6 linked regions of the Cricetulus griseus genome follow. The protein of the gene in region 1 purifies or fractionates together with the protein of each later gene. This does not show direct contact. Links are inferred from orthologs where the notes say so. Each region holds a gene or a part of one and is shown in the gene's direction. Other genes may lie near its edges.

Evidence for each region.
Region 2: the proteins of Myh9 (region 1) and Usp11 purify together in Homo sapiens (affinity purification with mass spectrometry; 3 studies listed by BioGRID, with this or other methods). This does not show direct contact. The link is inferred for Cricetulus griseus from reciprocal best matches to the Homo sapiens genes MYH9 and USP11.
Region 3: the proteins of Myh9 (region 1) and Enkur purify together in Homo sapiens (affinity purification with western blotting; 4 studies listed by BioGRID, with this or other methods). This does not show direct contact. The link is inferred for Cricetulus griseus from reciprocal best matches to the Homo sapiens genes MYH9 and ENKUR.
Region 4: the proteins of Myh9 (region 1) and Gsk3b purify together in Homo sapiens (affinity purification with western blotting; 4 studies listed by BioGRID, with this or other methods). This does not show direct contact. The link is inferred for Cricetulus griseus from reciprocal best matches to the Homo sapiens genes MYH9 and GSK3B.
Region 5: the proteins of Myh9 (region 1) and Sptan1 fractionate together in Homo sapiens (co-fractionation; 3 studies listed by BioGRID and IntAct, with this or other methods). This does not show direct contact. The link is inferred for Cricetulus griseus from reciprocal best matches to the Homo sapiens genes MYH9 and SPTAN1.
Region 6: the proteins of Myh9 (region 1) and Ube3a purify together in Homo sapiens (affinity purification with western blotting; 3 studies listed by BioGRID, with this or other methods). This does not show direct contact. The link is inferred for Cricetulus griseus from reciprocal best matches to the Homo sapiens genes MYH9 and UBE3A.

Annotation. Positions count from the first base shown.
Region 1 is NC_048595.1:374,863,090-374,866,633, reverse strand, and holds the end of Myh9 (myosin-9), read left to right. Parts: intron 1-34; coding exon 35-158; intron 159-452; coding exon 453-661; intron 662-1,121; coding exon 1,122-1,230; intron 1,231-1,308; coding exon 1,309-1,481; intron 1,482-2,540; coding exon 2,541-2,658; downstream 2,659-3,544. UniProt on the Homo sapiens protein: Cellular myosin that appears to play a role in cytokinesis, cell shape, and specialized functions such as secretion and capping. Required for cortical actin clearance prior to oocyte exocytosis. Promotes cell motility in conjunction with S100A4.
Region 2 is NC_048604.1:125,517,970-125,522,805, forward strand, and holds part of Usp11 (ubiquitin carboxyl-terminal hydrolase 11), read left to right. Parts: intron 1-733; exon of another isoform or gene 734-781; coding exon of another isoform or gene 782-810; intron 811-2,624; coding exon 2,625-2,734; intron 2,735-2,892; coding exon 2,893-3,023; intron 3,024-3,154; coding exon 3,155-3,272; intron 3,273-3,679; coding exon 3,680-3,825; intron 3,826-3,961; coding exon 3,962-4,023; intron 4,024-4,143; coding exon 4,144-4,243; intron 4,244-4,624; coding exon 4,625-4,798; intron 4,799-4,836.
Region 3 is NC_048596.1:212,465,821-212,471,317, forward strand, and holds the start of Enkur (enkurin), read left to right. Parts: upstream 1-2,050; 5' UTR 2,051-2,255; coding exon 2,256-2,332; intron 2,333-5,497. UniProt on the Homo sapiens protein: Adapter that functions to localize a calcium-sensitive signal transduction machinery in sperm to a calcium-permeable ion channel.
Region 4 is NC_048597.1:51,923,443-51,928,278, reverse strand, and holds part of Gsk3b (glycogen synthase kinase-3 beta), read left to right. Parts: intron 1-1,731; coding exon 1,732-1,862; intron 1,863-4,836. UniProt on the Homo sapiens protein: Constitutively active protein kinase that acts as a negative regulator in the hormonal control of glucose homeostasis, Wnt signaling and regulation of transcription factors and microtubules, by phosphorylating and inactivating glycogen synthase (GYS1 or GYS2), EIF2B, CTNNB1/beta-catenin, APC, AXIN1, DPYSL2/CRMP2, JUN, NFATC1/NFATC, MAPT/TAU and MACF1.
Region 5 is NC_048599.1:141,635,001-141,640,323, forward strand, and holds the start of Sptan1 (spectrin alpha chain, non-erythrocytic 1), read left to right. Parts: upstream 1-1,778; 5' UTR 1,779-1,917; exon of another isoform or gene 1,918-1,984; intron 1,985-5,323. UniProt on the Homo sapiens protein: Fodrin, which seems to be involved in secretion, interacts with calmodulin in a calcium-dependent manner and is thus candidate for the calcium-dependent movement of the cytoskeleton at the membrane.
Region 6 is NC_048596.1:138,656,264-138,660,903, reverse strand, and holds part of Ube3a (ubiquitin-protein ligase E3A), read left to right. Parts: coding exon 1-101; intron 102-1,337; coding exon 1,338-1,458; 3' UTR 1,459-4,640. UniProt on the Homo sapiens protein: E3 ubiquitin-protein ligase which accepts ubiquitin from an E2 ubiquitin-conjugating enzyme in the form of a thioester and transfers it to its substrates.

The DNA of each region.
Region 1 (3,544 bases):
TACCCAAGCCCTCACGTCTCTGGGTCCTCTCCAGGGCACTCGCGTTGGAGGAGAAGCGGCGCCTAGAGGCCCGCATTGCCCAGCTGGAGGAGGAGCTGGAGGAGGAGCAGGGTAACACAGAGCTGATCAACGACCGGCTGAAGAAGGCCAACCTGCAGGTGAGCATCGTGGTGGCCGCTGACCCTGCATACTGGGATCAAGACTCTTTGCCTGAGCTCCCTGTGGTCCAGCAGACCATGGCGGGCAGAAATAGGATGGATGAGTGTCCACTGTTCTCACAATGCCTCTGACCCGTGGCTTCAAGACCAGGCTTCAGAAGTTTCTGGGTCCTGTTCATGAGTAGATTCCTCTCTGAGAGAGCTGGGGTGTTCTTTGGTTCTGATGTCTGAGGAGAGGGTCCATGCAGCTGGGCCCCAGCCCTCCCTTGAGGTCACCGTACTGCCTTCTTGCAGATTGACCAGATAAACACCGACCTGAACCTGGAGCGCAGTCATGCTCAGAAGAACGAGAATGCGCGGCAGCAGCTCGAACGCCAGAACAAGGAGCTCAAGGCCAAGCTGCAGGAGATGGAGAGTGCTGTCAAGTCCAAATACAAGGCCTCCATTGCTGCCTTGGAGGCCAAGATTGCACAGCTGGAGGAACAGCTGGACAATGAGACCAAGTAGGTACCCCACCCAAACTGAGGGCAGTCAGTGCCGGTCGGGTCAGGAATGAGCTCTGTCTTCCAGGCTTCACAAGCAGTCTTCATTTGTTCTGAGAAGTATGGAGTTTGGGTGGGAACCCATAGCCCACACCCAGAACTGGGAGCTTTGTGGGCTGTTCTAGTGAGAGACCCTGCCTAGCTGTCTTGGGGCTCAGAACTGAGACTTGGAAGTAATGAGGACCATGCTGGGTCCCAAGCCTCAGATTCTCCATAGGCTGGCTCCTTCACTGGTCTCATGGGTCAGCCCAGGTCCCATCCTGAGATGGCAGCTACTGGGTGTCCGGAAAAGACACCTCCAGAGGTGTCCAGAAAAGATTAGGGCATCGGTCTCCAGGCCTCCGTGTGGCCCCAGGAAGTGGAGTTGGCTGTGTCATCTGGTAGAGTGTCCCCTTTCAGTCACCATGTCTGTCGTGCCCAGGGAGCGCCAGGCAGCCTCCAAACAGGTGCGCCGGACCGAGAAGAAGCTGAAGGATGTGCTGCTGCAGGTGGAAGACGAGCGGAGGAATGCCGAGCAGTTCAAGGACCAGGTTTGTGCTCAGACAGAGCCTTGGCTCTAGGTGGGCCGCTCTTTCAGGGCCCCTTACCTTAGCCACGTGTCTCTGCAGGCCGACAAGGCGTCCACCCGCTTGAAGCAGCTTAAGCGGCAGCTAGAGGAGGCCGAAGAGGAAGCCCAGCGGGCCAATGCCTCACGCAGAAAGCTGCAGCGTGAGCTGGAAGATGCCACAGAGACAGCCGATGCCATGAACCGGGAAGTCAGCTCCCTGAAGAACAAATTGAGGTGAGTCAGTCTCCTGTCCTAGACCTTACTCTTTCTCAAGTAGTTTGTTCTGAGTGCATTTCAGAGAGTCATCTCCTTCCAGAGCCAGTGTACAAGGAAGAGGTGCGTAGTGACCGATGTAGAGGGTACCCACCCTAGTGTGTCCTGCCGGGGTCTTCTTGCCTTTGGGGCTTAGCCAGGCTGTTGAATCAACTGCATATTCTTGGCAGTTCATTTCATGCCTTTTGTTTTGTTGTTGTTTTTTCAAGACAGGGTTTCTCAGTGTAACAGCTCTGGCTGTCCTGGAACTTGCTTTGTAGACCAGGCTGGCCTCAAAGTCACAGAGATCCACCTGCCCCTGTCTCTGATGGGATTAAAGGCGTGTGCCACTACCACCTGGCTTTTCCAAGCCTATTTTAACAGTCCATGCTCTTGCAACTCAAAGCCTAATGGGGGTGTTTCCATGCTGGGTTTTTTGAGTTGGCTGCTGGAGGCCTTCTGGCCCAGGGTCTGTACTTTCTGTAGAGTGAATGCTGGCATCACGATGCAGCGGGAAGGAAAGCAAGGCTTCTGTCAGTGTTAGAACTTTGCTGGGCTGCAGCAGATCTCGGGGAGTCTCCATTCTTCCTCCAATCAGAGGGAATGTTTTTTAAAGTATGAAAATAAGACTCTCATGAGAATTTCATCTGTGTTTTCTAATGTGATCAGAGGATGCCCCGACTCCTGTGTGAACAGCTGTTCCCTGAGGTTCCGGGTCTACTTACATCTTTTTGTTTTGTGGTGCTGTGATGGAACTTGGGGTCCAACTTGTGTTAGGCATGTGTTCTGCCACTCAGCACTCACCCTGCAACAGTGCCACCTGCCTCCACTCAACCTCCCTGTGCTGGTGTTCTGTGGTAAAGACACCTGCAGGAAAAGGCTGGTGATGGTTCTGATGGTCCACTCTCCTGAGAGTGCTGCCTGGCTCACTTCCCCTGGCAGGAGTTCCTCTGAAGATCCACTTTGAGATCTGCACACCGGGCTGCCCATCCATCACTCCTTAGCTGGGCCCCGCTGACACTGCTTCTGCCCCTTCCACAGGCGTGGAGACTTGCCGTTTGTGGTGACCCGCCGACTTGTCCGGAAAGGCACTGGCGACTGCTCAGATGAGGAGGTTGATGGCAAAGCAGACGGGGCTGAGGCCAAGCCAGCTGAATAGGATCTTCTGCTGCCTGAGACAACAGACAGACGGCTCCGCCTCCCCTCCACACCCCTGCCTTGAGACTGCTCTGACCCTGACAACCCCCGACCCCCAGGCCTTACTGAGGGCATTGGCTTCCTCTGCTGCATAGTCCTCCATACCTTTCAAGAATCCGATACCAAAGAGTCCAGGCTGGCCCAGGCCCAGTGACCAGCAAGGTTTTGCCCCAGTTGCCTGAAAGCACAGGTGGTGGGCAAGGAGGGCAGCCCTGGGAGTGGGCACAAGAGTTTTCTATGAATCTATTTTTTCTTTAGATAAAGGTTTTAATAGCTCAGGCCCTCTAGAAGTGTTGTCACCTTTCCCCCACCTTTGCTGCCAGCTCCTCCCCACTCCTTCCTCTGCTGTTGGCAATCACACATGGTGACCTCACACCTGCCCTCTGGCCCCTTTCCTGGGCCCTTCCTGATCCAGAAGGAGCAGTCCAGGGCTTCCACCTCTGTGCTGGGTGCAGAACAGGGGCACTCGGGGAACTCTCCCCATTCCCTTCCGGGTAGCACTGGTGCCTCTGCCCCTTCCGATTGTAAAATGTGTCAAGTGCAATGCCCCTTCCCTCCCTTGCCGAGGGCAGACTATCCCGGCACCGGGGCAACCAGACAGGGCATCAGGGCCACACTGGAAAGGCCAACAGCCTTCCGGTGGCTTCTCCCAGCACTCTAGGGGACCAAATATATTTAATGGTTAAGGGACTTGCAGCCAGAATATCCAAGAGCTGGGACCTACCATGCACTCTTGTGCCTCTCCTAGGACCAGGGCCAAGGGTGGCTGAGCTGCACCGCCAATGCTATAGCTTCAGATCTGCCTTCCACATGGATGTTTTTGAGAGAAAAAAAAAAGGTTTTTCCTC
Region 2 (4,836 bases), on another chromosome or scaffold:
AGTTTCCCACTACCAACACCTGGCTGAAATATAGTTACTTTTATAAGAATATAGTGGTACAGATTATTAGGTACTTATGGTTATCCTCTTTACATAGTTCAAGGGCAGCCTAGGCTATATAAGACCCTGTCTCAAAACAAAAAAGATGAATTAAGAGTATGCAACTAGGTGGTGGCATTCACCTTTAATCCCAGCACCTTGGATGCATAGGCAGGGGAATCTCTAAATTCTAGGCTAGCCCAGTCTGTATAGTGAGTTCCAGGACAGCCAGGGCTACATAGTGAGACCTCGCCTCAAAACAAAAATTAGAATGAAAAAAGGGGGACATCAGAAATGGCTCAGCAATTAAGAGTATATACTGCTTCCAGAGGCCCCAAGTTTGGTTCCCAGCACTCATGTCAGGTGGACCACAAACATCTGTAACTAGCTCCAGGGGATCTGATGTCCTCTAAGAGCTCCCAAGATCACATGCACATACTTATACACGTGCACAATTAAAAGTATGAAAAAGAAAGCACTAAGAATTGGTAATAATTTGGTGACAAAAATATGACTAGTAATTTTATACAAAAGACCCAAACCCAAATCTTGATCATATTTTGATGTGTTGGCCACAGGATAGTAGGAAATTAAGGACTTACTAGTAAGCCTTTATGTGTACTTCAACTTATTTAAGTAAATTTGATAGAGCAATGTTATATTTACCATCTGTAACTTTTTTTTAATTGTGCAGGATGATGGTGATAGGCTGGTGATAGGAGTAAAGAAAGAATTCAGCAAGATGGAAAAAGGCACCAGTAAAGAGTTTATGTAAGAGATGGCTTTCATTGAGGCAGGGGTGTTCTGCTTAGACAGTTAAGCAGTGTTTCAATGATGCAATGCCCTGGGACATTTGTAGTTGGGGCTTATGGTAGAGTTAACTCTGACCTGATAACAGTCACCAGTGGCCTTGCTTTGTTCCCACCTTGCCCTGAGTCAGTAACTGCCTTGTTCTGAGAATATCTGCCCCAGAGTGGTTTTTATGAGATTAAGCCTTACTCTAGCCCTGGCTGGGCCCACATTCAAAGCAATTTTCTTGCCTCTCCCAATTATACTTACCTGGTTGGTTAGGTGTGTGTGTGTGTGTGTGTGTGTGTGTGTGTGTATGTGTGTGTGTGTCTGTGTGTGTGTGTGTGTGTGTGTGTGTGTGCGCGCGCGCGCGCTTGTGAGAGAGAGACAGAGACAGAGAGACAGAGACAGAATTCAGTCTAAGGCCTCTTGTATGCTAGGCAAGTGGTCTACACTAAACTATATCCCCAATCCTAAACTGAAGTTTTGCTACGGAGTGATTGTAGTGCTAAAATTTCCTTTCACATCTGATTTTTAGGAAGGTGAGGGGTTAGAGAGATGGTTCAGTGGTTAAAAGGGTGTACTGCTCTTGCAGAGGACCCAACTTCAGTTCCCAACACTGAAGTAAGGCAGCTCACAATTGCCTGTAACTCCAGCTCCAGGGAAGATCTGAAGCTTTTGGCCGCTGTGAGCACAGTTTCACCCACAGGCACGTGGGGATATATGTAATTAAAAATATTTTTTGTTGTTTTTCGAGACAGGGTTTCCTGTGTAGCTTTGGAGCCTGTCCTGGAACTCGCTTTATAGACCAGGCTAGCCTCGAACTCACAGAGATCCACCTGCCTCTGCCTCCCAAGTGCTGGGATTAAAGGCTTGCGCCACCACTGCCTGACAAAAATCTTATTTTTAAGGTTGACAGGTGCCTCCCTTTGTACTGAAAATACTGTTAACTGTACTCCATACATGAACCTCATAAACTGAGTGTAGGGGCCAGTAAGCGGTAGGAGGAATGTATGTGTTTGTAAGTTGAATGACAGATTTTTGGCATGAGCTCCCAGGTGGCAATGAGTATTTTTCTGGAGTGAATGATGTGGCATGGTCTGGGGAGTGGAGAGGGTAATGTACAGTCAAACATCCAAAACACACAGAAATTCAAAGCCAGGTGTGATTCATGTCTGTAATCTAGCATGGAAGCTGAGGCAACAAGTTCACTGCCAGCCGGGACTGTGTAGTGAAACCCTGTCTCAAAAGAGACTCCAGACTAGATTTATATCATAGTTGAATGTGGGGAACTGTGCACACACCTTTTAATCCCAGTATTCAGGAAGCTGAAGCAGAGGGATCCGTAGAGCCTGAGGCCAGCTTGGGCTACATACATAGTATGTTCCAGGCCTGTCTGGGTGGTACAAGACCTCATTTCAAAAAATAGGGCAATGAATGAAAAAATTGAATAATGTCCAAATGCATTTCACTGAATAAATTCTACTTTTTACTTATTTTACATGCTGCTAAAAGTTTTCTTCTTGAGCCAGGTGTTGGTGGCGCATGCTTTTAGTCCCAGCACTCAGGAGGCAGAGGCAGGCGGATCTCCGTGAGTTCGAGACCAGCCTGGTCTACAAGAGCTAGTTCAGGACACCCTCCAAAGCCACAGGGAAACCCTGTCTCAAAAAAAAACAACCCAAAAAAGTTTTCTTCTTGGATTATAATGGATTGATAGTTAATTCTGCAAGTGATGAGAAGTTGTACAGCTAGCTTCCAAATAATCATAACATCTTTGTTGTCTGTCTGGGTTCCAGGTTCCTTGTGGAGCAGCACTGGTATAAACAGTGGGAGGTGTACGTGAAGGGAGGGGACCAAGATGCTAATACCTTTCCTGGCTGTATCAACAATTCTGGGCTCTTCGAAGGTACTAAGCTTCTGCCTTTCCCCGTCAACCTTGCCCTGGAGCTCTGATCTTCTCTGTCCCCACTCCCATTCTCTATGCTTAGTTATTGGTGGTAGCCAGAGTTAACAGTCCTTTCTTAATCCATGCTGTGCCTTGTCCATACTCCCTATTCCCTGCAGATCAGATAAACTGGCACCTCAGGGAGGGACTGCTAGAAGGAGATGATTATGTGCTGCTCCCAATGACTTCATGGAATTACCTGGTCAGCTGGTATGGCCTAGAAGATGACCAGCCACCTATTGAGCGCAAGGTATATGTGTGGAGCAGATGCTTGGGGTGGATTTTAGATTTCTAACTGTAGGCTCAGGGTAGGTCCAGAGTATGTACCTGTGTTCCCCCTGTTAGTTGGGTGGTTTTATGGGTGCTCCTCTGCCTTCACAGGTCATAGAAGTTTCTGGCATCCGAAAGGTGGAATTATACCCAATAGAGCTGCTGCTTGTCCAGCACAGTGATATGGAAACAGCTCTCACCATTCAGTTCAGCCACAGTGATTCTCTGGGTGAGTCTGGCACAAATTGCTATTTGTGGGCCTCTGGCACAAATTGCTATTCCTAATCATGAGTCACATCTCAATAGCCTGAGGGTGTCTGGGGATCCAGTTACAGCTTCCTGAGAAGGCACCAGTCATACTGTGGAAGACAAATGTTGCAGTGGCCATGTTGAGCAGACACTGGCTATCTGCTGGAGTCCAGAGAGGATGAGCTGTATTGCAGTTGCTTAGGTGGGATGGAAAATAGTGTTTATTTACCTGGGGGGGTGCTTAGTGTGTGGCTCACTCATTTGGAGATTTGTTTGAGGACACAAGGTATTGGCTAAGTAAACAGTCTGAAAATGAGCTAAAGCTATCAAATGGCCCAGTATTCTGGGGTCCCAGAATATATGGCCATGTTCCATCAACCTCCACAGACTTAGTCTTGCAAACAGCTCGGGAGCAGTTTCTGGTGGAGCCTCAGGAAGACACACGCCTCTGGGTCAAGAACTCTGAGGGCTCCTTGGATCGATTGTGTAACACACAAATCACACTGCTTGATGCCTCCCTTGAGACTGGACAGGTAACAGTGGGGAGGATTTCTCTGCATATATAGCCTGGTGGGTAGATCCCTGGCAGTTGTCAGACCAGGGAAGGGCAGGGTGCCCTTTAAGCTTTCCATTAATACTTCTCTTTTTCCTTTCTCTACCCTGGCCCAGTTGGTCATCATGGAAACCCGAAACAAAGATGGCACTTGGCCCAGCGCACAGCTGTGTGGCATGTGAGCCCTCGGGGTGTCGTGCAGATTTGGGGCACCCCACAGTAGGGAGACAGAACCTACGAGTACAGAGCACCCACCTGTAGTAGGCCCTTAGCTCATAGGTTTCTCATCCAACCCCAGGAACAACATGCCAGAAGAGGATGAAGACTTCCAGGGTCAGCCGGGCATCTGTGGCCTTACCAATCTGGGCAACACGTGCTTCATGAACTCGGCCCTACAGGTTGGGCCATTAGATCTATGTCTGGCACAGTTCCAGGGGTTAGGTACTGGGGACAGAGCTAGGGGATGGAGGGATGATGATTACAGTACAAGGGGTCAGGTTGAAAGCCAAGGCTCCACAAATCTGATCTGGTGTGCCCACATTTTCTCCTGAAGTATCAACACCTTTTCCCTCTACTTGCTCCCCGTTCTTGCTTCTTTCCTTTGGTACTGCCATTTCCTCCTACAGAGATACTGACATCTTTCCCCAATACTTCTACTGCACTCACACTGCCAACCCTTCCCCTTCTCTCTCCCATTTCCCTGTCCTCCCTCCTTCTCTGTTCTCACTTGGGCCACCTCACCTCTCCTCTACCTCTTTCACTGGGCCCTACTACCACAGTGCCTCAGCAATGTGCCACAGCTCACGGAGTACTTTCTCAACAACCGCTACCTGGAGGAGCTCAACTTCCGGAACCCTCTGGGCATGAAGGGTGAGCTTGCTGAGGCCTATGCAGATCTGGTAAAGCAGACCTGGTCTGGCTACCACCGCTCCATTGTGCCGAATGTCTTCAAGGTGTGACTCAACCCCATGGGCTCCCACTTTCTTTTCTC
Region 3 (5,497 bases), on another chromosome or scaffold:
GCTTCACTCTTAGGGAAATGCTGGGTTGGGTTCCCATGAGCCCTTACTTTCGATCCTAACGTTACTATGTGCATATCTGCCCAATGACATTACATGCACTGCTTATTAACACTATGAATTAAGCCAGAAGCACTCTAACTCATACCTGAATGAAGCTCATCTTAACATACCTGTTTTCTCTGTAAAACACACCAGGAGTCTCTTCATACTTGGAGCTACTATAGAGCACTTGAGTACTGAGTTTAGGAACCTGTTTTTGTGGCTACTGAAACCAGAAGGATACAAAATATGTGTCACTAAACAAAATATAAAAAGGGTATCTGTTACTGAAACCCCAAACAAGACAACAAACATCTTGCTTGATTTCAGCTGGGAATGTGCACATATCATACCTCAAAATTCTCACTGCCATGAATGAATAAATGACTAAAAATGTGCAGCCAAGTATTGATTTTTGGGATTGTGAATAAACTTGAGCAAATAGGACATTAACATAGAGAATCCATGAATAATGTGGGTTAACTTTATGTCATTTCCCTTTTTTGAAAGCTGCATTCTTTCACATACCGATTCCTTCCAATTAGAACATGTATACGCTTTGGGGTGTCAATGTGGCTCCAACCACTGGCCTAACATACCTGAATACTGGGTTCAATCCTGAGGTCAGGAAGGTATATATGTCTTGCCTAATAACGATCAAGTTGGTTAATACTGTTGTCATTCTATGAATTCATAATTCAAACCTTAGCATGCACAGGAGCAGATTTCCCAGAGAATTTTTTTTCTCTATACATGTTAAACAAAAAGAACAACAACCATTTTTCTCCAAGGCAAAAATGGTTAATCTCTGTTTTGCACCTAAATCTATGGAACTGATGTGAAATAAGGAGAACCATCCCCCAAAAGGCCATTTATCTAACTATGGGCTGCCCAGAAAAATTAAATTCTATCAAATTGAAAAACAGAAAATTAAACGTATTCCCTATTCTTATTGAAAGAAATTTAGCAAGGAGCCTCAAATTAGGATTTGCACCGAGGACCGCCTTCCAAGGAGGAACTGAAAAGCTCACTAAACCACTAGGCCATTTAACCCATCCACCAGGCAATGGGAACTGCAGAAGTGATGCGCTCGATTTCCCCAATGGATACCTTCCCAGTGGATTGAGAGCTATGGATTTTCCCTCCCAAAGCAGTGTGTAACTGGGATCAAGGTTTCTAAATGAGCTTGCAGTTAGTTACAAGTGCATAAGCAAGAAAGGAAGAGCAAACGGCTCAAAACGGAATACAAGCACTTCTCGGAGAGGAAAAAAGAAAATGTCAAAAAGGGATCGGGGGCTGAAACCAGGGCAAAACCGGAGGCCCACTTTTAAAAGCTGATCCTGCTGGCGCAGGCTCGCACTCGCGCCCGCCGGCGCCCCGGAGCCATAGCGGAGCGCAGGGCGGGCCGCGGGGACCGGTGAGACAGGTGGATGACCTCGCGGAGCCTGATCCCGCGCTAAGGAAGGAAGGGTACGAGAGCAACGACCCGCGCCAGCCTTTCTTTCCTCCTCCATTAACTCACCAAGTAAACCACCCAGAGAAGACCGGGGAGAGGAAGGGGAAAGGGAAGCAGCTTCGGCACCTCCAAGGTAGCCTCAGCGGGTACGCCCGCCCCAGAGCTGCTGCATCTGCGCCTGCGCCGACTGCGCCGCGTCGCTATGTCGGTCACGTGACATATATGCCCCGCCCGCCCGCTGGTTCGCGGCTCCTCCCCTTCCCCGGCCCCGCGGTTCGTCCCCGGAGGGGCGTGGCCGGGTTGTGGGACACTATTGTGTGACGCCTGCGCACCAGCCACGCTGTCTATTGTGGTAGAATTTTTCTTCCCAGATGTACCGAAGAAAAACAGCAAAATATTTTTTTGAGTGGGGATGGGGGGGTAAGGGGACACTGTTTTCATGTCCTTTCTCCCAAAGGCGCAGGAACGTTCTTACGTATTTCTCAGGCAGGAGGAGTTAGAAAACAGGGACCCGAGAAAAACCAGCCCGTTTCCTAGCAACTGTTTCCACAGCAACCACGCGGCCAACAACGCTAAGCAGTCTCCAGAGGAGCAGAATAGTTTCTTCCTGTAAAGGGTCAAAGGGAGATTATTATACGAAAGAGAAATTTTAGTTCCTTGTTAAGAGAGCAAGAAAAGAAAAAAGCGGCGAGAAAAGGAGCCGAGACAGTGGGATAGGGAGCCAAAAGTTGAGTAGGTGTTAAGGAATCCTTTGGTAGCCATGGACCCATCCTGCACTTCCGAGAGTATATATAACCTCATACCCAGTGACTTGAAGGAGCCGCCCCCTCTTTCTAGGTATGTGGGTAAGCAAAAGTGACTTCAACTCAGGGAAGCATGGTGACTCCTTTTAAGGACTTACTGGGCTTGAATATCGTAGGACTTTTAAAAGGAAAATCTATTTTTTTCTTTTAATTAAGTAACCTTGGGGGGGGCAACTTCTTAGGAACAGGTGAACATATCTATCTAGCTTTTCATAATTCACAGAGAAGGTGGGCTGGTGCTGTATACCAGTCATTTTATGGCCGTAGTCTCCTGCTAATATGTAATTGATCCAGTTGTAGGCGGTGTGGTGTCTAGTGTGAAATTTCACATCGTTGAGAAGAGAAAAATAAGTTTTATCAGTCCGTTTTAGTAAATTCTTTGTTTAATTTTAGGAACCCCATGATGTATTTGAGTTTACTGTCTCTCTGTACTCCTTTGCCTCCCGTACTGTCGTCTAAATTGAAGTCTCATTTGTTTCTAGGTCTCGGTACTTGAGTTAGTTAAACAAAGATGGTGTGCTAAAATATTTTCTAGGATGTTTTTCAGATCTTATAGTTTAATGGAAGGAATATAGTTGGATGGATATGGATTCCAAAATATATAATCGAGGGAAATTTTTTGTGTGTTTGTTAGACCCCTGAAAATCTCCAAAGGAAACTGCAAAATAAATGTCCTAGATACTCTTCCCTGTAGCTATTTTTTAAACTCTATTGAAGTCTGAGGGGAGAAAAAGGGAGTCTCATTTTGACTCATGAAAGTCACGGCCACTTTAAAAGAATAAGTACCCCGGTGCACATGCCTATCCCAGCACCAGGAGAGTGCAGTTCAAGGCTAGCCTGGGCTACAAAGGCAGACCCTGTCTCTAAAACCAAACAACCAAGACAATAAATCATCCCTGAGAGCTTTAAAGCAAATCAAGATTTACAAGTTGCTATTTTGGAGGTGTGGAATCAATTTTCAGTTGTTTTCTGACTGGAAGAATAAGTGAAGTAGACATCTCCAAGGTTCCCTCCAAATGCAATGGTCAACTTCTTGTTACTTGGAGTGGTAACAGCAAAGTGTAACTCCTTAGAAGCCTGAGTGGCTTAAACCACAGCAATCACAAATATGGTATTTCCATTGGCTTTTCAAGATCTAGTTGAGGTCTGGTAGGAATATAAATGCTGACACACTTGTGGAGTTTACAGTGTTTACATTACTTATGGCTAAGTTTGATCCAAAATTTCCATATAGAGTCAAGGCAGGTAAGAAGGATGGGAACTAAGACTGACATAAGTCTGACAGTAAGGTCTGGAAACTGGATTAGCTTGCACATTGTCCAAAGAAACTGGAGGAGTGCCATTGCTTCAGTAGAGTGTTCACCTTTGATTACTGATAACTTTTCATATTTCAGATACTGTTAAGTGTCCATACACTGTTCTCTTCCTGTACAGTAAGATACATTATGATGAGACTCCCAGAGAAAAGAGAAATGGTGACAGAAAACTAAGATGGCATTACAAATGAGATAAACATGGAATCTGTGCTTGGAAGTCTTGTGTCTGTCTCACTCAGGTTGGACTCAAAGCTACTGGAAAACAGTCAGTCATCGACAAAGGAAGAAATGTGACTCCAAGTCACTATATCAGGGGTAAAAGTTAAGCTGTAATTGAGCAGAAGTGAAATGCTCTTTATAGGGACCCATGAGTATACATGCTCGTGGTTCCTAGATAGAGGACACATTGTGGAATGAGGAATGGCGTCAGCCTCAGTCTCACAAGGAATGTACCATGTTCCACTGGTCTCATATTACTCTAGTGCCAGAATAATTTAATGAAAGCAGTTTGAACAAGAGTGTTGTTCCCTAGTTTAACTAGATAGATCTTTTCTGGGATTTAGGTCAACACTGTCCAATAGAAATGTAATGCACTTAAACATTTTCCTATAGTCATTTTTAAAAGAAAAAAGCAAGCAAAAGCAAAATTATCCTTAATTATGTATATTGTTTAATCTGATGTATCTATACTACCATCATTTCAGGATGTGGCACTAGCCCCATTTCAAGTATTTAATATCTACAAGTAATGAACAGCAGAAATCTAGATGAATACATTGACTGCAGTGATATTTGCTAATTTATTTTTCTCAATAGCTCATGAGATCATAATTATGCCCAATGAAACACACCTGCCTTATTGGTGACAACTTAAGTGCAAAGTATATCTGTGACAATCAGTCTGGGAGTGGAATTTCATCTATTTTTGAAAAATTAATTACTTTATGTAGTCAAGAAGATGAACTGAAAATCATTTGGATGCCTGTGGGTGAACTTACACAGTATCTAACTAGATGTAAAAAAAAAAAAAAGCCTCAAGATTTAATTTGGAGGACTTTCTAACACAGTTTAAACTCCAGAGTCAATGTTAATCAAAAGCATACGCACATGAGTTCTCTCTCACAAATACACTGTGCTTCCTCAGATGTCTCAATCACTAAAAGGAAAATCTGAAGTTCTTTCAAATTATCAGCACATTTAAGCGTATTACTTCTTTGTGTATCCTTTTAAAATGCCATAAAATGGATTACTATATGGTGATTGTTAGCAATAAAATAGTTATAGTATGTTAAAAGAGGATGACAGTTTTAGTTTCAAAATAACTTATCTCTAGCCCAGTCTAAAATAAGTAGACAGCGAATCCAGTTATCTGATTAAAATTACCTGCTATATCTTTATAGTAAAGCCATTCATTTTTAAAAATGTAATGTAATGTAGCTATTTAAAAGAATAAGCATAGATGGGCAGTGAGGGTCCACACCTTTAATCCCAGCACAAGAGGCTGAAGCAGGCAGATCTCTGTGAGTTCCAGGCCAGCCTGTTCTACAAAGTGAGTTCCAGAACAGCCAGAGATACACAGAGAAACCCTGTTTTGAAAAAACAAAATGTTAATAATAATAATAATGAATAAGCTTTGTATGTACTAGCATCACACTATATAATACTTAAACAATAAAGTTGCACATATATGTGTACATATATCCATGAAACAATAAGTAATGTAAAATAGTCCATGAATTTGATAAAGAGCAAGAAGGGTATATGGAATGGTTAGGAGGGAGAGAAGGAAAGGGAGAAATTATGTAGTCATAAATCTCAAAAAATAAGTAGTCAAATATATATATAAGCAAAGCTGAGAATTTTGATGGCTGTTAGTGCAATAA
Region 4 (4,836 bases), on another chromosome or scaffold:
AGCTTGATTTCAGATTCACATTAAACATGTACTGTTAACATGTCCAGCCTTAGCAGTTTCATTATGCTTCTAAAGAAAAGTGGCTTTCCTGTGAACTTCAATAATGCCAGTCCCCAACAATATATCCAGAAAAGACAGGGTCTTTTGTCAGTACCTCAGCTGACCTTTAATCTTTTTATTGGCTTTTTGTTGTTTTGTTTTTGTTTTTTGAGACAGGGTTTCTCTGTGTAGCTTTGAAGGCTGTCCTGGAACTCACCCTGTAGACCAGGCTGGCCTCAAACTCACAGAGATCCGCCTGCCTCTGCCTCCTGAGTGCTGGGATTAAGGATGTACACCACCATTGTCTGGCTGTTCATTTTTTTTTTTTTTCCTTAGTCAGACACTGTGTCTTTGATTGGAATCATTGCAGCAATTGTTTCCATGGTGTTAATCAGGGAGTAGAGCTCAGAAAGTGAGCATGTAGAAAAAATTTAAAATGAATCTGGTTGAGTGTAGTGGTACATATCTATAATCTTAGCAATTTGGAGTAAGACAAAAGAATGACAGGATCAAGACCAGCTTGTATACAACAGGAGTAGTATGTCCTGGAAGAGATTAAAAATGAATAAATCAATAACTAAGAAATAAGTAAACAAATAATAAGTAAATAAATAAATAAGGAAGAAAGGAAGTAACGAAGGGAAAGAGTCACAACACTGGCCTTGGAATAAATAGAATATTGAAGGTGTTACATCGGTATGTTTTCTTAAAGTTTTAAGGGTATTTCTCTGGTTGCTCTGACAAAATTCCAGACAAAGGCAACTCAATGAAGGAAAGGTTTATTTTGGCCTAATAGTTCTGGAGGATAGGGTGCATCGAGGTAGGGAAAGCAAGGTGAGAGAACATGGGATAGTGGGTCACTCTCAGAGGATATATCGTGTGTGAGCTCTGAAATTTGCTCTATAGGCCAAGCCATCCTTGGACTCAGAGACCCCCCTGGCATCTGTTTTTAGGTGGCATTGCAAGTCTACATTATTCTGAAGGTTATTAATACTACTTATTAGCAGAGTTACTGATGTCTGAAAAGGCAATTGATTAGATTTCTTACTTTACCTGTGAGTTTTCCTGGCTTCTATTATATGATTTTGGAGACTAACCTTTCAGAAAGATAAATGATACTAAAAATGACACTATGCTTTTACAGCCTGAGATACTAGAAAGAATAATGAACATGGTTTATCATCTAAAGGCTGCTATCTATCACTCATAGACTATGGTCGGTCTCTCCCTCTGAGCTCTTCATCGATGTTTTAAGTAAAAAAATTCATCCAGCTGACTTCAGATGAGATGTTAAAGTGGGTGAAAGGGATTGAACCCCTGACTTTTTTTGTGTGCTAAGCAAGTGCTCTACTGCTTAGCTACATCCCTAGCCCTCTTTAAATTTTAGATTGAGATATGGTTTCACTAAGTTTCCTAGGTAGACCTTAAACTTAGAATTCCCCTGCCTCAGTTGTATGACACCAAGCCTAGATACTTTTCTAAATTACTAAAGGATAGCACAAATATATGCTTAATGATACTTTAATTTCCTAGTGTTTATGGAAACAACATGAAAGCTTGTGTAGGCAAAACAGTACTAGTAATCATCAGCGTTGTACATGTTCTGCTGAGACTATTACTTTGTTTATTGCATAATGATACAATTGTGTCTGAAACCAGAGGTGCTGAATTAATGTCTATTATTTATTCCAGTTGTATATGTATCAGCTGTTCAGAAGTTTAGCCTATATCCATTCCTTTGGAATCTGCCATCGAGATATTAAACCACAGAACCTCTTGTTGGATCCTGATACAGCTGTATTAAAACTCTGTGACTTTGGAAGGTGAGCTGGCTTTCTTACTTCCCTCATACTCAAATATATTGCAATGGTAGCCTAGGTCCTATAATCCTTACTCAGGGGATATAAATTAATGTAGTTCCCTGTGAGGATGGTTTTGATATTTTTATTGGAATACTAAATGTGAGTACCTTTCCTCCTACAGTTAACTTCTAAAAACTATTTACAGAGAGATTATGTGTGTTTAGTGTCTTTAATATAGCATTGTTACTAAATATCTACTAGCAATGAAATGTCCAAATAAGTTGATATATACAAATACAATGTTATACATGCCGCTGAGGGTAAAAAATGAGGGAGCTGTCTAAACTGGATGGGAATGACATCAAGGAGGTGTTAAGTGAGAAAAGTCAGGGCTAGCAAGATGGCTTACTTGGGAAAGGCACCTGCTATCAAGACTGACAATTTGAGTTTGATCCTTGGAACTTGCTTGGTCCTGCAAGTTTTCCCCTGACCCCTACAGGAGTACTAACATTCAAGCTTGATGGCTGTGATGACACCTGCTGATAATCCATGCTCAGTAGACTAAGGTGTCGGAGACCATTAGTTTGAGTCTGGCCTAAGCCACATAGTGAAACCCTGTGCAAAAAGAAAGCCACTGCCACATCAGCATTGTGTGCGTGGTATGCTTTTGTTTTAAAACACTGGGTGGGGGTGGGGGTGAGGGGAGGGAGAGGGAGAAGGGATTGACATGTGAAACAAGCTTGTTCCTAATTTGAACTAATTAAAAAAAATCAAAAAAGAAAAAACACTGGGTGTGACTGTTGTGTACAAACAGGCATACATGACCATGGCTCATTTCTGAATTGTTATGTAATATCCCATACATGATTACTCCTAAAATGTCCATTTTAGGATTATTTCGTACTTGGGAAACTTGCATTCTTATTGATCTTTAGTACTACTTGAATATATATATAATATATATAGTGTGTGTGTGCTCCATTTTCATTACAAATACTTATGTTAAGATATATATATATATCCTTTTAGCTTCACCTTAACCTCAATTAAGAATGAGATAAATCATTGAGAAGCAGTATTAAGTTTGATTCCGTGGTCATACACTGTAACTTAGTAGCAAAAACTTCCTTTTCGGTAGTCAGTAGCTGTAAGCCTCCCAAGATGCAGTCAAGCTCCTTTCCATAATAAGACAGGTCATCACACTTAATCTGCGATAGCCACCAGTGAACCTCTCCTCTTTTTGTTCTGATACATCTGTCTTTATAAACTTGTTAAAAATTCTTCTTTTTCAGTTTAGCACCACAGATTATATATTAATCCATACTTGCTGGCAACTGTATTTCCACATCTTTTATATAGACTTCTATACCAACCTCAGATTAAATTGTGTGTTTAACATCAGATATATTTCCCATGGGTGTAGGGAGGTACCTGAAGAAACTGAGCAAACCTGCTCTGTCAGTAATTTCATTCTTAGTCTCATTGTGCACCTCTTTCAAACATCCCTGTTTTACAATTTCCTGATTACAAACCCTCTCCCAGTATCTCACTCAGCAGGCTGTGGCTCTGCTGACAATAAGCACCTACAGCTCATGTTTGATGGTTGAAGCAGAGCACCACTGCCCAAATGAGATGGGGTTTGATACTACCGGTTACCTTGCTGTGGAAAGTGACTGCTAAGTACTAGAAGAGCCACCAAGTGCTTAGGGTTCCTGTTCTCATCACCATGTTAGAGCACCATTAGCACTGGGATTCTCTTGGGATGTAAAGTAGCTTTGGTCTGATAAGTGGAAAGGGAACTTTCACAGGTGTGGAAACAGCTCATTCTTACCAACTCTCAGGACTTTGGAGACACTTCATGCTCTTAGGTACTAGGGTGGCAGAAACTCAACCAAACAGCCTTACTCTCTTTGTAATAATTTTTTAGTAGCTGAAACAAGGTCTGGCAGTAGCTGGAAAGGCTAGCATGGCATGTCTAAGGACCAGATTAGGTGAGGCCATAAGGCAGAGAGTCAAAACCTCTCATTTGCTTCATTGTTATTGAGGGGGAAGAATATACAGCCTGTAAAAGTATTCCGTTATAGAATTTTAACTTATTGTGAAATTTATTTCACAATTATTATTTATTTCACAATTATTATGAAGTTATTTCATAATAACTTATTATGAAATTTAAGAATCTGTTTGTCAGTTTAAAATGGACCTTGTTTGTTTGGGTTTTGAGACAGAGTCTCTCTGTAGTCCTGGCTGTCCTAGAAACCCACTGCCTTTGCCTTCCAGTAGAGTGTTGAGACTTAAGGCATGGCCAAGGTTTCCTGCTGTTTGTTTGTTTGTCTGGGAGCTGAACTTTAAATGTCACATCCTAGGCAGCTGCTTTATCAAGGAGCTATATCCCAAGCCCCCAAAATGCACTTCTGAAGATAGAAAAGTCCATTATTAGTTATACTGAAAGCTAAGTGTCTTGATTTTCTGATAGCCTGAAAATATTATGGTTGTTTAATAACCATTAATGTGGGCCCTAGAAGGTTAAATTGTGAAACTGCTAATGAAGGGAAAACAAGTTAAGTTTAGCATCATCATTGACTAAAAGTAAATTGAGGGGAAGGAAGCCTAGACTTTAAGGTTGAAAGGTCATTTTCCCCTGGCTGTGTCTTTGCCTTCCTGTGCCCTTCCTTACCTCAGATGTTTTCTGTTGTGATTTTGTTGCCTGTATTTATCTCCTGTGTCTGTGACGCTGCTGTCAGTGCATCTCCCAGTGTGGCTTGCTGATTTGAAATGAGTTATCTGAGAGACATTTGAGAGATGCTAACTGTAATTCACTTTAATGTTTTAAGTGTATATACTGTAAAATACTTCAGGAGCAAAGCTGCAATAATATGTAAACAGCATAGCAGGGATGGAATGGATAGGTTCTGAGTCACTTTCCCCCTCAAGTTGAATGCCTTTTTGCAGTTTGTTTAGAAACAGGTGGTTAGATAGCAAACTGACTAAAATA
Region 5 (5,323 bases), on another chromosome or scaffold:
ATACTTGTATTAGCCATTTTGTACCCAAGGCTGGATATCTGATTTTAAAATTTGCTCCTACTGGCTGATGTGGTGGCTACTATGGTCACCATCAGCTGTTTTCAGAAATGCACAATCAAGAGCCTGCTGTGGTGGTGCACACTTTTAATCCCAGCACTCAGGAGAAAGAGGCAGGGGGATCTCTGAGTTTGAGGACAGCCTGGTCTATAGCCAGAGCTACAAAGGGAAACACTGTCTGGAGGGAGGAAAAACAAAAAACAAACAAACAAAAAAAACAGTTCAGGAAGCAGCTCCCCAACCTATTTTCTCTGTAAAGATTGCAGGAAATGCCTCCTTTCCTCAAGATTTGTGAAGCTGCTTCTGGGGTGTGGCCATTCCTTTTGTGTTTCTCCACTCCAAGGAAAAGGACTGGGAATCTTCACTATCATGCCTACAGCCAGAGCAGCTTAAAAGTCACAATGCAGATCCTAGGCTCTGGAGAAGCCAAACTGCAGAGGAACAGAAATATCAGGACAGGGCCTCACCCGAGTTCTGGAGCAAGGCCCAGTGTCTTTGTAATTATTTAACGAGGAGGGCGGTTGGTAACCAGGAGGCTGGTGCCTGGGGGAGCTGCAGAACTCCCAGTCGGCCTGACTACACAGGAATGAGCTGGGTGCTACTCGAATGGTTGCTACACAGCTGTCTTCCAAATGGAGGAAGGGAAAGAGCTTTTGCTGGAGGGGAGCCTGGCTACAGAGTTCAGAGCCAGGCCCTGAAATACAGAAATTGCAGAAATCTTGTTTTTCCTCTTCTAAAAAGTCCAGCACCACCTGCAACTGCTTGTGTTAAAATCTTAGCTTTTCTAATTGCTTCGTACCTGACCCGGGTAGAATGCTAGCCTTTATGGCATCAGGGTGCTCATTTGTAAAACAAGGAAGGCAATATCCACCTTGTAAAATTAGTGCAAAGGTTAAAAGCCTAAAGAGGTAGCACACAGTGTCACCTACACAGCAAAGTTCAATTAATTGTGGGGAAAGAAACACTAATGTCTTTTTTTTTTTATCAACGAGAATGAACGAACCCTGTTCTACTGCAACAGGAAGAAAAAATGCTGAATAATTCTCCAAATCCTGAAATAAAAGCTTAATGCCACAAACCAGTCTTTTTCTTTTTCCTAATCAGGATTTGGTTGCTTTTTTTTTTTTTTTTCCCCTACTATCTCAAACACAGGGCCCCAAAATCATCTGATTTTCTTGGCCCCAGCCCCCAACAGAACAGGAACACTCGGGGCTCCCAGCGCCAAGCCTCCTCCTGAGAAAGTGGAGAGGGAGAGCCAACATTCTGGTGAGATCACCCGAAAAGGACAGCGCGTTTTTCCGGCCAGGGCAGCAACATCCCTAGCTTGACTGCGGCGATGGGTCCCGCCCCGCCCTTCGCCGCAGTTCCGGAAGGGCTCCCAGGGGCGGAGGGGCGCGGCACAGATTCTCTGCAGGACGGACTGGGCGGGGCAGGATTGCAGGACCCACGCCGCGGCGGGCGGAGGCGGTGACTCCTCTGCGCCGCGCCGCGCCGCGCCGCGCCCCGAACCCTTCACGCGCGCCCCCGAGCTCCCCTTGCGCCTCCACCCTCGCGTTGCTTATCCCAACCCCCACTCCCCCCGCACCGCTGCCAAGATCCCTTCCGGACGCGCTCGGCCCTTTCCGTATGGCAATCGAGCGGCGAGTCCCGCCCCTCGCGTCACCAACCCGGGAGCCTTCCTCGAGCGCGCGCTCGGCCGCCGCGGGGGCGCGCGCGGTCGCCTATAAAAGCCCCAGCGCGCGCGCGTCGCCGCCACTAGCCGCTGCGGAGCGAACGGCGTGAGGCAGAGGCCGCGGCGCCGCATCTTTTTCCTCAGCAGCCCTCAGCGCGGCGACCCACGCCCCTCACCCCCGGGAGCCGGTGAGAAAGGGCGGCGGAAGGGGAGGGAAGGGCCGAGGGCTGCGGAGCACCGCAGCGGTGCGGACAGGTGAGCCGTGGGGCCTCACGGGCGGCTCCGTGGGCCGCCGCTGCCGCCGCCTTTGTGGCGCGTGGGTTGCGGGGCCGGGCGGCGACCTGGCCTGTCATGGGTGGGGAAGGCGCGCGAGGGCCCCTCCCTGTGCCCGCGGCCCCACCCATCGCGGCAGGTGGTGGTGGGTGGTCCTCGATGGCACCCACCCGCGAGCGTCCCCCCACCCCCCACTGCACTGCATCCGCACCATCCGTGCCCGCACCTCGTGGAAGAGGACGAGCCTGGCGTCTGCAGTGAAGGGCTCTCTGACCTTAATTTCATCCTGTATGGCGATCCCGGGCCCTCAAGCCGCAGAACGGTCTCCTTTTTCTTTCCTGGTAATAAATGTCTTTTTCTCTCCAGTGCTGACCTGCTCCTGTACAGTAGTTAGATGCGGCGCCACTTGGTAGGAGATACAAATCCAATAAATAACTTAATAGGTTACAGCTCTTCTCTTTCTTTTTATGTGAGACTGGGTTTATTTGTTTGTTTTTAAGTCGAAATTAATATATTTTTTGGCCAAATTTTTGCCACCGTGCCACTGTGGAGTGATAGAGCAATCTTTTGTCTGTGTCTGAAGCTGTCCTTGTAAATTTGATGAAATGCTTCTCAACGAAAAATTTTATTTTAAAAGCCTCTCGGGTACTGGAAGTACATATGTATATAAAACAAGGGGCTTTGGTGTAAGTACGGCTCGATGTATTTTAAATGAATAGCCCAGAAAGCTGGGGTGAGATAATTTTTAGCTGCTACACTTTACAGGGTCCTTTTGACTGCCCCCAACACCCCAATATCTCTTCAAACTCTTATTGTGTAGCCCATGTTGGCATGGAATTTGCTAAATAGCCTAGGCTGGTCTCAAACTCAGGTTTTTCCTGCCTCAGCCTCCCAAATAATCAGATATATACCCCCAAATATTTTAAGTTGTCTGTTCTTACCCTTGGTATTTTCGAAAAGCTAATCATCATGGCTGTCAAGGAATACGAAGTATTTTCATAAAGAAACTGCGTTGTCATAGCAATTGGACTTAAGTAAAGCAGAATGTATCAAAGATGGCAGGGTGGGGGTGTCTTGCAGCCAGGAAACAGGAGTTTAAGAATAGCATCAGCAACAGTGAGTTGCATGAAGCTATCGAGCCAAGGATCCCACTCATACTAAATGTCTTAGATTTTAAAGGTCAAATTGAAGTCAAAGTTGGAAAAAAAAAAAAAGTGCTGCAGTGGGGAAAAAAGAGCTGCAGTAAGATCCCTGCAGGAAATTAACAATAAGCCTTTTTTAGTAACTGGGCCATTAATTCCTCAAAGGGACCCTCAAAGTGTGTTGACTGTTATCCAGGGACCTAGGTAAAAAGAATGGAACACAAGGTTTGCCTTATGCCAGACAAGTGTGAAACACTTCTTAGGGTAAATCCAGGGCCTAAGGGCTTATTTCAAATATGTAGTCCCACTCCTTACTTTTTGAGACAAGGTCTTGATATGTGGTTCTTTCTGGAACTATGTAATTGGTTGTAGCTGGTCTCGAACTCACTATGCTCCTGCCAACAAGCCTAGCTGCCACCAACCTTGGCTTTTATTCTTTTAAAGAGATGAGGCCTTGCTATGTTATCTAAAACTCCTGGGTTCTGGCCTAGTGCTTTATCCTCAGCTTCCTGAGTAGCTGGGTCTGTGGCAGGCAGGAGCTGCTGATAGTGCCAAGTTTGGGCTTGGCTGTATGCTTTGTAATAATCTAATAATTGAAGAAACTGATGTCAAGTAATCTAATGAACAAGTTTAAGTAGGGAGAGTGTATTAAGTATATCTTTAAGTTCCCTGGATTAGAATTTTTCTATTATTTTCCTTCTCTGCTTTCATCTCAAAGGGTGGGGCCTCTGCGGATATTGTGAAATGACTCTTAGGAATAGCTCCCCCCATCCTTTCTCTGGAACATTAAAAGGACAGGAGATCTGAGGGCAGCCTGCTTTTGTAATTAGTCCTCCCTGGCTACTGGATAACTAACTCCTCTCTGCATCTGGGCCTGTCACAGCTCATGAGCTGTGTGGCCTTACAGAGGAATGCAGTGATACGATGGCAAGTGCTGACTCCAGGAATGCAGAGGTCTGCATAGCTGATCACATAGAGCTAGCTGACTGGAACAGCTGTGCAATGGACCAGCGTCTTTCCCATCTCTCTTGCACATACTGCTTATACTTGTTTTGAGTAGGAAATAATAGTATTTTGTAAGGGAACTGCACCAACTAATGACTTAATGCTTTTACTTAATTACTTTTACTATGCAAATTCCTAAAATCTTTGAGATTCCTATTTCATCTGAATGTGGATGAGAAGCGGCCAAATTTATTTTTAAAAGAGGCCATATTTATTTTTAAAAGAACATTCAGTATTCAAAATCAACACTTGAATGCCGGGCAGTAGTGGTACACACCTTTATTTTCAGCACTTGGGAGGCAGAGGCTGGTGATTCTGAGTTCAAAGCCAGCCTGTACTAAATAGTGAGTTCCAGGACAGCCAGAGCTTCACAAAAAATGTTTGTCTTGGGGTGGGGGTGGGGGGGAGACAAAACAATCAAACAAAAAATCAATACTGAGTCCTAAAAGAGTGTTCGATTTGGTCAAGGCAGCCCATTAGGTGATGGTAATTGTTAAGACATAGGAGCCTTGGTTCTCTTAATACATTTCAGATTCCTGGTGGGATTTGGATACTGGGGAAATCTTGGCTATTAAATAAATATTGGTGTTTTCACAGATCTGTTGCCTTCACTTTGAAGTGATTCTATCCCACTTGCCCTTAGAAGTGTGTTATCTTGCTCTTCCCTTCCCTCTTTAGACTCCACATTCCTCCATCATGTTGTCATCGTTTCGTAAACGCAGAGTTCAGGTATTTGACTAGCATGCAGAAAATGTGTTGCCTTTTGGGGTTTTTGCCTGGCTTGAAGTGAAGACACACTGATGTCTAAGAGGTTGAATGATCCAGAGGGAGAAGCCCTGCCCGCATGACCTTTCTGTTAAGTAGAAAGGTTGGTAACAGTCTGGTTGGGATTTCTGGTTTCGTGATTGGAAGTGTCAGTATGTTTACTCTAAAATTTCCAAAGCCTACTGTTCTATACCTTTCTGATTCTCTTTAAGGCATGGATGTATTAATTTCTTACTGCCATCCTTGTGTTTGCATGTAATGTTTGCTGATTTTTAATTGATGGCTGCTTGGTTCCTAAGAACCAAGGGAGTAATTTACTCTAGATATTTAGAAAAATTACCTGAAAACATGTAGTATAAATAGTGTTTTAAGTTTGACAAGTGCTATAACTGAGTTTGTCTCCTTTCCC
Region 6 (4,640 bases), on another chromosome or scaffold:
AGACTCTTCTTGCAGTTTACAACTGGCACAGACAGAGCACCTGTTGGAGGACTGGGAAAATTGAAGATGATTATAGCCAAAAATGGCCCAGACTCAGAAAGGTAAATATTGAAGTGCAACTCCATCTCCACTGTAAACCTTTAAACTTCATGCTGCACACATGTGATCAGAGACATTTAGCCTCTGTGCTCACTTATGATATTATATAGAAATATCCAAGTCAACAAAACATTAGTGAAAGGGATATTTTACCTTTATTATTCAATTGTAAAATTGACATACTTAAAAAGTAATTGGGAGGTACATGAGTACAGTTTGTCAAATTGGTATGATTTATCATCCCAATAAAGTTTATTAAGAAAGCTGTTTTATAGAATAGTGTATTTAGAATGCTTACACTGAAATTTTCAGGATTATCTGTTTTTTAAAGTTTATTCTAGAATCCTGAGTTACATAATTTTGACATATGATTGTATCCTTTCCCCATTAAATACTTTTCTCTTTTATAGTGGGGCTGGATGACATATCCATAGAAGTATGTTGACTTTGGTATACATCTACAGATATATTTTCATTACTGTCTAGTCTATATTAGTTGATAATACATTATGGATCTAATTTTAATTAATTTATATTTGCCATTCAATCATTTTCACTGTCATTTTGCCAATTGTGTTTCAAGATTTATTTGTTTATTATGTATATAGTATCCTGCCTGCATGGATGTATGAAAGTCAGAAGAGGGCACCAGCTCTCATTACAGATTGTGGTGAGCCACCATGTGGTTGCTGGGAATTGAACTCAGGACCTGTGGAAGAGCAGCGTATGCTCTTGAACTCTGAGCCATCTGTCCAGCCCCACCAATTGTATTTCTATTCAGTCTTGGGAAAAAAAAAAGAAGAAGAAAGAAAGGGAAAGGGAAAAAAAAAGAAAAGGAGCAGACTCTGAAATCTTTAATGATAGTTTTGAATAGTTTTTGTACTTTAAGTTGTTTAGTGACTTCAGCTTTTAAGTGGGTTTAGTAATCTTGGTATGTTTGTTGTGTGAAGATGTAAATGAACTACAAAGGTAAGTATCTAAAGCAATAGCTAACATAGAGTAGAAACTCAGTAAATGCAAAATATTACTGTCATCACTATCACCTTCATCATGTTAGCATTATTTTATAGGCTAAAGACCAACTGATCTTTGTAGCTAAACAGCACACTGTTTATGATTTATCTAATCTGTAGTTTCTCATTATAAACCATTTTAACTAGATAAGCATCTAATAGGAGTATTTCACACTGAGCATATTTCTTACAACTTATGATTTTCCTGTTTTTCTCTCTATTTAGGTTACCTACATCTCATACTTGCTTTAATGTCCTTTTACTACCGGAATATTCAAGCAAAGAAAAACTTAAAGAGAGATTGTTGAAGGCCATCACATACGCCAAAGGATTTGGCATGCTGTAAAGAAGCAAAAACAAAAAGAAAAAGAAAAAAAAAAGAAAAACATTTAAAAAAACATAATAAATATAGTAAGAGGGATAATTTGGTGGTGATAGTGTCCCAGTACAAAAAGGCTGTAAGATAGTGAACCACAGTAGTCATCTATGTCTGTGCCTCCCTTCTTCATTGGGGACATTGTGGGCTGAACAGCAGATTTCAGCTACATATATGAACAAATCCTTTATTATTATTATAATTATTTTTTTGCGTGAAAGTGTTACATATTCTTTCACTTGTATGTACAGAGAGGTTTTTCTGAATATTTATTTTAAGGGTTAAATCACTTTTGCTTGTGTTTATTACTGCTTGAGGTTGAGCCTTTTTGAGTATTTAAAATATATATACCAACAAAACTACTCTCGCAAGGAAAACATTGCCACCATTTGTAGACCATGTAATCTTCAAGTATGTGCTTTTTTCTTGCTTTTTTTTTTCTTTTCTTTTTTTTTTCTTTTTTTGTCCCTGAATCTAGCTCAAATCAGGACCTTTTTTCTTTTTTTCCTTTTTTTCCCTATCAGTTTGCTTTTGAAACTTGAAGTCTTAGAAACAGTATGGTGCAAGTACTGCTGTTCTAGCCCCCAAAGAGTTTTCTGTACAAAATTTTGAGAATCAATAAAGATGGAAGGGAGAACTTGGAATGTTTGAACCACAGCCCTCAGAACTTTAGTAACAGCACAGCAAATTAAAACAACTCATGCCACAGTATGTTGTCTTCATGTGTCTTGCAATGAACTGTTTCAGTAGCCAATCCTCTTAGTATATGAAAGGACAGGGATTTTTTGTTGTTGTTGTTTTTGTTTTTGTTGTTTTAAGTTTACTGGGGAAAGTGCATTTGGCCAAATGATAGGTTAGTCAAGCCTATTGCAACAAAATTACAAAGTTTGTTGTATAAACAAGCATGTAAAAGTGCTCTTAAAATGAATCTTTATTATTACCTAGATTTTAAATAGACAATCCAAAGTCTCCCCTTCTGTTGCCATCATCTTATTTAATCAGCTATTTTTCAAGGCACTCGATCAGTGTTGCAGCATAACAGAAAGGATGGCTACTGTGCCTTGTGTTACTTAGTCACACAGTAAGCAGGCCTGCAAATGAATGGAACTATTACTCCTGAGAATTACATTGTATATCCCCCAAATTAAATTTTACATCAAAAAGTGTTAAATATTCATGTGCTGTAGAAAAGTACAAGTAGGCTTAAATTACTGGATATTTAATGTAGTTTCCCATTCCTAGTCTTCTATGTCTGTGATGTTAATTTCTTTTGTTGCATAAGAAAATAAAAGAATTATGTATTTTTAACTAAGGAGAGACATACTGGTATATCATTTTACTACAAGCTACAGCTAATTTGTTGAGCTTGTGATTTGATTCTTTTAACAATTAGTGCAAATCAACCTTATATTTTAAAATTGGCAGGGGAAAATGTAGCTTTCAAATCATTGGAAATGCTTTTTTCAAATCATTTTTCATTCTTGTAGTAATCAAAACAGAACTATTATTTACTGTAATGCTAAATAAAGCAGTGGCTTAAAAAAAGAAAACTATACCTTAATGGGAGAAAAAGAACACAGTGCTTTCTATACTGTGATAAGGTAATGTGGTTTTTTTTTTTTTTTTTTTTTCCCCCTGGGATAGCCTTTAGAACACTGTTGTGGTATGTATGCTACCTTGATTATAGGACCCATAAATGTGACTATAGTCATCTTAAAGGGCCTCTTCATCCACTGAGCTTCTTATGTATTTTGAAAGTGATAAGAAGACAAATTAAGTGGATATACTTTATACAATAAATTTGTGAAGAAATTTGTGTTCTTCAGTTCTCAAGTTTTATTGTTGCTACAGTATTGAAGTAGCTGTGATACTATATCTGTGTGAAAGTTTAAGTGATAATATAGATTATCAGACAGAAGTAACATCAATATATTTAATAGAAAGTGGAAAAATACCCTAAAAAGTTTTAAGAAGAAAAAAATAAACTCTTATTTGCTTCATAATCAGTTTTTCTCAGCATGTTACCACGTTATTATGGCTGCCTTTCCATTATTGCTTTCTTAGAATGTCAAGGAACAGTATCTTATGAGTAAAAGTATACCTTTTAGTGTTGTAGAACATTTCAAACTTAAAGCTTAAAAAAAGCACAGCCTGCAGCAAAAATTTTCTGGAGACTTGGCAGCTGCAGCAAATGAATTGAGTGTCTGATTGTATATATTGTGGTCTATAGTTAATTGTGTGATCAAATCCAGTTACAATTACCTTAGCTTTATTTGGAGATACATCCCTGTATAGGAAGATATATTATCAAAAGAAACCTATAAATGAGGCTTCAGAGAACTTGTTCATATTAACATGTGGCACATGCTTATAATTGGGCAGCATCACTCCCTATTTCTGTGAGGTGGCTGTACTGAAACTTAAACTGATGTAAGGAGTTTTTTTCTCAAGAATCCACATAACCTCCTGGAGAGAGAAGTGTTTTTCTGAGGCTACATTTTGTGATGTTCTTCCCTTTAGTTGCTTAAGACTATCTTTATCCTTTCTACCCTTCCCAGGGCCACCAGAGTAAAATATGATAATAATAGCAACTTTCACTTGCTGCTTCTCTCATCTTTTCTCCTCTTATTCTATCAAACCATAGATCTTTCTGTCTCTCTCTCGTGTGTGTGTGTGTGTGTGTGTGTGTGTGTGTGTGTGTGTGTGTGTGTGTGTGTGTGTGTGTGTGTGTGTGTGTGTGTATCATATTAGCCAACTGGAAAAGGAAGTCAGAGAGTTGGAAAAGACTAGATCTTTGAAAGGAAGACTTTTTCTTTCTTCCTTCCTTTCTTTTTTTTTTTTTTTTTTTTTTTTTGTGACTCTCTACATTCTACCTTCTTTATACCACAAACACACTTTCCTTTATCCCGGTAAAGATGGCAGCTGGCACACCTTGGATCATTCTGCTATTACTAGTCCCTCATTTTCACAGAGGAATCCTCTAGATGCTGTTCTCTGTAAATGTATGTGAGTCATATTTAACATTTCTTATACTTTGTAAGTCAAAGATTCCTGTAAATTCTGAAGGAAACTTTCAGTGACTGTCAAGTACCTGTGCATGTAGTCCTTCATTTGCACAAAACAGGTCAGTCACTGTAACTTGAGAGTTTATA